Linked DNA regions of Saccharomyces cerevisiae S288C. Changing the gene in region 1 together with any one later gene gives a genetic interaction. Each region holds a gene or a part of one and is shown in the gene's direction. Other genes may lie near its edges.

Evidence for each region.
Region 2: mutations in ZRT3 (region 1) and PUB1 together harm fitness more than expected from each alone (negative genetic interaction), as found in Saccharomyces cerevisiae (2 studies listed by BioGRID).

What each region holds. Positions count from the first base shown.
Region 1 is NC_001143.9:116,939-120,833, forward strand, and holds ZRT3 (Zn(2+) transporter ZRT3), read left to right. Parts: upstream 1-1,854; coding exon 1,855-3,366; downstream 3,367-3,895. Other genes in the region: LST4 (Lst4p), read right to left, coding at 1-1,048; TPO5 (Tpo5p), read right to left, coding at 3,442-3,895. UniProt on the Saccharomyces cerevisiae protein: Transports zinc from storage in the vacuole to the cytoplasm.
Region 2 is NC_001146.8:601,066-604,853, forward strand, and holds PUB1 (Pub1p), read left to right. Parts: upstream 1-1,841; coding exon 1,842-3,203; downstream 3,204-3,788. Other genes in the region: YNL018C (uncharacterized protein), read right to left, coding at 1-709. UniProt on the Saccharomyces cerevisiae protein: May be associated with hnRNA within the nucleus and remains associated during nucleocytoplasmic mRNA transport, once the proteins are in the cytoplasm, disassembly of PUB1-RNA complexes may occur prior to PAB1 binding and formation of a translationally competent RNP complex.

The sequences.
Region 1 (3,895 bases):
TCTTTAGTTCTCTTATAGTGTGCCTGTAATCAGATATAATCATTGCCATTAGGAGAGGAAGGAAGCCTAGTTTCGGTCCATCTTTGATTTCAATCCAATTAAATATACTTTTGAACCAAACGTGAACGAATTCTTTAAATGTCTCAGGGTAAAGGAAAAGCCTAGGAATCTCAGACATAGAACGTAAACCTGGTATGACTCTTTTTTGTAAAGTTTGCACCATTATTTCAATTTCCTTGGGATAATGCGTCCTGATGTCAATATTTGACAATTTTATGACTGAATTATTGCTGTAATTGCCAGTATTTTCTTGCATAATACGGTTTTTAGTCAAGAAACCAATGAGCATTTTTTGAGTCTGGGTCAACCATGATGAAATGGAAGACCACGACTCTGCAACTACGGGCAACAATATCCTCGGTATGCATAAGCTAATTGCGATGCGGTTGTATTGGTGTGTGTAATAGAAAATTCTAGTTATGAGTACCAAATCCGAGTTAGGAATCGTCCTTATCTTGTCGCACTGCGTCAAATCGGAAGATCTTACGGGAGAACCAAATATATATTCCTTCAATTCACTCGGCCGTATCTGCTCCATCGAATTTGAAATCTTTGACGTAGTGTAATCGAAGATATCACGGTAGTTGTTCCTACACGCCATTTGACCCGCTTCCTCAATGATCAAAATCCTGAATGCATACGTTTTTTCGTTAATAGACGTGATTTTATCAGTACCAAGACCTCCGTTGTTTTGTAACGTATCGATAGGACGACTATAAGGAATATCCCTCGAGCCGAAAAGCTTCAGTTTTAAGTCATCCGATATATGATCTAAAATGGGCGGAGAAGTCGTTGATAGCATTTCCGAAGGCTTTTCCACATTGACTGCAGTATCTAAAAGAGCTCCAGCAGCGGTCTTAGTAGTTCCTGTGCTTGCCGCTTTGCAGTATACAGGGACATTGGGAACTACGGAGGAAAAATCGGAATGCTCTGAGCTCTTCTCAAAACCAGACGAACTCGTCTTATTTCTCAGTAAATTACCCAACATATAAACTCTCCCTCTTCACCTTCTCTACAAGGCCACACACAAGACAGTTTTAACAGGCAAATGGTACTGGAGGCTCTCACCAATGGGGTTTAAGACGCTCCAAACACACGCTCTCCTTTTTTTCTTTATATATCGGTAGCAACGAAAGCTAGTCGCAGAACGTTACACACTAAAGCAGATCAATCAATCAATCCTGAGAACCTGCTTCGTTCAAACCATCCACTAGAAGAAACACGCACGTGTACCCAAAAATAGAGACAAACAAACAGACAAAAATAACAATGATTCCTACCGACTAAAGTAAAACAACACTCACGTAATAAAAAATCCTAGATACAACTCACTTGTATTCCTCTCTTCTTTGACCATCACTAAAGCTTCTCTCTTACTATATTCCTCAAATAAAAAAAAGTTGCAATGATTACTTACCAATGTGCCATAAACTCCGTGCACCACACTAGCCTTCGATTTGACACATCTCTAAGCTGAAACTGAGAATACTGTTGTAAAACAGGTATTGGCTGCTTCATAGTACACCCAATTGCCCACAACCCAAGTTAATCATAAGCTCTTGTTGTCGATGAATTGCTCAAAATGTGGCCATTCTTTCAATTTTGCACCTCTAAAACTGCTCCGTGGGTTGTGACAACAACCTTAAGGGTAATGGACTTTTTTAGAAAGACAAATGAGATGATTTCACCTACTGGTATATCATTTATTTATACACGACCGTTTTGACATTTCAGAGTTGCACGTTGGTATATCCTAATATTCTCACAAGCATCACAGTGAAGAAACGCAAGAAAATGGAAAAAATTCCCAGGTGGTTGTTGTTTTCTCTTATATCGTCGGTGCTGTGCATACTTGGGGCCCTGTGTGTGCCGTTGTTATCGGTTGCCTTCGATAGCAAGCGCAATAGCCAATCTAAGTTGGTCAACTATGGTCTTTCTCTAAGTGCCGGATCTATGATCACTACTTCACTATACATGCTATTGCCTCGGATCGAAAAATCAAACCGGTTCAAGGTTTTTCCTGGATTGCTTTTGGGTATTTGCCTCAGTTTTTTCTTAAACTACCTAGTCCACGCTTTCGCCAGCGAATCGTTGGTACACTGTGCTGATAGCGGTGACCATGCTACAGGTTCACATATACACTCCAAATCACATTCGCATTCGCACTCACACTCACATGCGGATTCGCATTCGAATTTTAGCAACGATCATGATTTAGAAAATGCTCCCTCTGAGCATGGTTATGCAACATCTTCTTCCAGTGTTTCTGAAAATGACCCGTTGATTACAAAGGATAGCGATAGACCCCAAATGAAAAAGAAAATGTCCCTAATTGACTTATTAACCAGAAGGAAATCAGAAGGCGAGTGTTGTGACCTAAACAAGTGCACTCCGCTCTTGCAATCAGAGCAGCCAGAATATATTGCATGTGTCCCACCAGTGATAAAGTCTTCTCAAAGTGAAAGAAACGTGCCACATGGATGCGAGGGATCAGAAGATAATGGACAATCCGATGACAAGGATCATCGTGGCCTTGTATGCGTGGAAAATAATATCGGTTACGATCTTGAAAACCTATCGTTGTACCGTAAGAATTTTCTTTCGAGCCGCCATCATCATTCCTCTGAATCGCCCGAAAATTATGGTTCCAACCAGTTGTCGCACTCTTTTTCGTCACCTTTGGGAAATGATGTAACTGAGAATCCGGCCGCATTGGCAGACACACAATACCATCCCGAAAATGGTTCATTATACCCCCACCATCATCACTTAGAGACCCCTTTTTCCAAATTACTGTCTATTGGTATGCAAACTTGTCTAGTCCTTGCATTACACAAATTTCCCGAAGGGTTTATTATTTTTTACACTAACAGGTCAGATTCGTCAAAGTCCTTGGGATTTTCCATTTTTTTAAGTTTGACGATCCATAATTTTGTCGAAGGATTTGCAATGACGTTACCATTCTACACTGTTTTCGAATCTAAATGGGTTGCCATTTTGATTACTGCCGTTCTCGGTGGTGGATCTCAACCATTAGGTGCATTGATAGGTTATTTCATCTTTAAAGGTAGTACTCCAAGGGATCACGAACCCAACATGGATTTTTTACTGAGCGTTACTGCAGGGTTCCTATTAGTAATTGGTTTACAAATGTTCCAAACTGGTATCGGATTTAGCGATGGACATCATCATCATCAAGGAGAAGGTGATGAAGAAATGAAACAGTCCCATAGCTCAGGCACAACTTGCTTGAAATGGTGCTGCACTGGCGTTTTGCTAATTCTAGCGAGTGCCCTTTTCACTTGATAAATTAAAACTACGTATATTCTTTCTATATAAGTCTTTTCCCATTAAATAACGGTGTATAATCACGATCATATATCATATATCATATCTACGATCATCGGCAAGATCAAATTCTTGTTCTGCTGTATGGTGCTCATCACCATAATCGGTTATCACGTTTTCCTCATTTTCCTCAAAGGGATTTTCTGTACTACTTTTAGGATGCACCTTGATGAAACCTTCTTCAGAATTATTTTCTACAGACTCTTTCACTGTGGTTCCCGAGTTTAGAGTATGTTCAACATTGCTATCCTCTAGTTCAAAAACAGTTTCTTCCGCATCACTGGGAATTGGAGCCTTGATGTCATCTGCCAAGGGTAATCTAAAATTATACTTCCCCCATTTGAAATAAAGACCAGTGATAACTAAAATGCAGAATACGTACACCATTAAAGCATAATTCATTGTTTTGAAAGTTACAGGCACTTGCGTTGGTAGGCAAACAGAAACCATAGATAACAAGAGCCACACAATAGAAACAATGTTGATG
Region 2 (3,788 bases), on another chromosome or scaffold:
CTGCGTTAAGCGATGCGAAATTGCCGTCTGGAAATGACGATATGTGTGGAGAATGAGGAGGATTCCATGACGAATAAACTGATGAGGATGTGCTAACAGATGAGGTTAGTGAGGGTACCGATTCGTTGTTTTCTGATGCAGAGTCTGTTGTGGGAGATGTGGTAGCGTTATTTCTTTGCACAAGAGAAGATGGGAGCATAGCACGGTTGTGGGAGGAGGAAGAAAACATCACGTTGCAAGTATCGTTTACGGAGTGGGATAAGAGGTAGGAGGTTGTCATAGCGGTGCTTTCTTCCTGATGCATGGCAGAAGAAGTTGGCAGTAATTCGTTTATTATGGTGACATTGTCGTGATTAGAAAGGACTGTCTCTTTTACCATTGCCTCGGGTATGTTTTTTGGCGCCTGCCTTGAACTTACTCCAGAACAAGCCTCAGCAGAAGAATGACCGGAATGATTCCTCTTATACACGTTCCAGAGTGGAGCATTCTTGACATCATAAAAAAAGTTGCTGACAGGATCTTTGGACTGGTTGACGTTAAGTGGTTCCGTAGCTGGTCTGATGTTTTCTTGTACGGTATCACTGACGGCTGAGAAACCTTCAGAGGAACCGTTTTCGGGAACAGACTTGGAGGATTGCAAATTAAGCCATTGAAAGTCTAGCCCAACCTTGTTGCAGAAGGCCTTGAACTCCTGGAAAGATGTAGACATTATGTGGGCGAAAAACAAAATTAGACCAACGCTTTAGCAAATTTTTTCAACCTCAAATTGATATTTGAAGATTAGATCGGATGGTTTTTTTTCCTGTGGTGTAGGCCAAGCTTAAACAAGGTTTTAAGTGAAAGTGGAAATAATTGTGATAAACATGCGGAAAGAGTGCCAGCCTTAAATAATTCCGCATTGTTGCTATGTCGTTTTGTTTTTGTTTTTGTTTTCGTCTTATTGGTATTTGTTCATTTTACGACCACAAAGGATCCAGGGCTTCTACTTGCACAGGGAGGGTTGCTTGGTTAATACAATGCAAAGGTCAGAGATATTAAGATTTGTGAAGGGTGCATTCAATGAGTTTTTCCTTTAATGTGCCCTAGAAAGGAAGTAGTACGAACATTTCTCAGTCGGAGTTTGCCGGAAATTCGAATGACAGTGTAAGTTGATTTTTGTGGCACAGAGATAATGAGCGGTGGTTCTGGCACACATTTGTGACGTTGGTTTGATAGTGTGGAGGGAGGGTGAAAAACAGATAACAATGGTCTCTTGGCCCAGTTGGTTAAGGCACCGTGCTAATAACGCGGGGATCAGCGGTTCGATCCCGCTAGAGACCATTCTTTTTTTACATTTCTCGCAATGTGATTTATTTTGCTTACCCTTCCCACTGCCGTTACAAGGGAGGTGAACGAAGAGGCTTGTTAGCATAAGGTTTACGCGTTGCGGTTGTAAGCACAATGTTCTTACTAAACCTCTGAAGATTAATTATCCTAACGTATACTAATTAATTCAAAGAGAATATTTACTCGTTCTCTTTTCATCATTTTGTAACATAATTCTTTACGTATTTTCACTTCGTACTTTTTTCAACTTTTTTTGCCTTCGCTTCTTTTTTGTTGTAATTTTTCAATTTTTTTTTTTCATCGTTGGCCGTCTTTCCTTGTCCTTCATTTTCCTCTCGTAATAATCATTCAACTACGGTAAAGCATGCCTTTCCTTTTTTCTACTCTGCAGTTATTTTCATAATATCTACTGTTTCCATTTCGTGCTTTAAGTTAGAGTTTAATCTTCCCTTCTATCATCTTAATAGCAGGTTCATAATAAGAAGATTACCACATCTACTCTTTGTTCGATTCCAATGTCTGAAAATAACGAAGAACAACATCAACAACAACAACAACAGCAACCTGTTGCCGTCGAAACTCCCTCGGCAGTTGAAGCTCCAGCATCAGCAGATCCTTCTTCTGAACAGAGCGTCGCTGTCGAAGGCAATTCTGAACAAGCTGAAGACAATCAGGGTGAAAATGATCCTTCCGTAGTTCCTGCTAATGCTATTACCGGTGGTAGGGAAACTTCCGATAGAGTTTTATATGTTGGTAACCTAGACAAAGCTATCACCGAAGACATTTTAAAGCAATATTTCCAAGTTGGCGGACCAATTGCTAACATCAAAATCATGATCGATAAGAATAATAAGAACGTCAATTACGCTTTTGTTGAATACCATCAATCTCACGATGCCAATATTGCCTTACAAACATTGAACGGCAAACAAATTGAAAACAACATTGTCAAAATCAACTGGGCCTTCCAATCCCAACAGAGTTCCTCCGATGATACATTTAACTTGTTTGTCGGTGATTTGAATGTTAATGTTGATGACGAAACTTTAAGGAATGCCTTCAAAGACTTCCCATCCTACTTGAGTGGTCATGTTATGTGGGACATGCAAACTGGTAGTTCAAGAGGTTACGGTTTTGTTTCCTTTACTTCTCAAGATGATGCACAAAATGCCATGGACAGCATGCAAGGTCAAGATTTGAATGGTAGACCGCTAAGAATCAACTGGGCTGCTAAGCGTGATAACAATAACAATAATAATTATCAACAGCGTCGTAACTACGGTAACAACAACCGTGGTGGTTTCCGTCAATATAACAGTAACAACAATAACAACATGAATATGGGGATGAATATGAACATGAATATGAATATGAACAACAGCAGGGGCATGCCACCAAGTTCAATGGGAATGCCAATTGGCGCCATGCCATTACCATCTCAAGGCCAACCCCAACAATCCCAGACCATTGGTTTACCTCCTCAAGTAAATCCTCAAGCTGTTGACCACATCATTAGAAGTGCCCCACCAAGAGTTACTACTGCCTATATCGGTAATATTCCGCACTTTGCCACTGAAGCTGATTTAATTCCGTTGTTCCAGAACTTCGGTTTTATTTTAGATTTCAAGCACTATCCAGAAAAGGGCTGTTGCTTCATAAAGTATGACACTCATGAACAGGCCGCTGTTTGTATTGTTGCCTTGGCAAACTTCCCATTTCAAGGCAGAAACTTGAGAACCGGTTGGGGTAAGGAAAGATCAAATTTTATGCCACAGCAGCAGCAACAGGGCGGTCAGCCACTTATAATGAATGACCAACAACAACCGGTTATGTCTGAGCAACAACAGCAACAGCAGCAACAGCAGCAACAACAATAAATATTATGAAGAAAAGTGGAATGAAACAAAAAGAAAGAATAAAGAGAGGCAACCTACAAATCCCAAGATAAAATAAAAAAAGAACGACAAGAATCCATTCATTATATTATACTATTTTTAAAAAAAAAATTACTACGAAAAAGGGAGAGAAAAAGAAGAAGAAACTCAATTTACTATTGCTCGAAAAATAAAAGGGCCTATAAACTTACTCTATTTTTTTAGTTTTTCTGTGTCTTATTTCCTTCCTTCGTCACTGTTTAATTTTTAATACTATTATTTTCCTTTAAAATGTGAAAGTCATTGCTAATAGTGTGATAAAAATAAAGAACGTATTTTCTGAAGGCTTTCTTTATTATATTTCCTTTTTCCTTTCTTACCCTATTTTTTTTAAACATCCATCCCACTGTATTTTGTCGAGTCCATATATATAATTTTTGTTTTTATTTTTTACAACTTTTGTTAAGTATATAAAAATGCTACCTAGCGTTATGGAGACATGTCAGTCTTGAGTCCAGGCACATAAAGGCAACAGCCACTACCACTGCGCACCCGTGACGCTGCTCCAACGTTCTCATTAAGTACGGA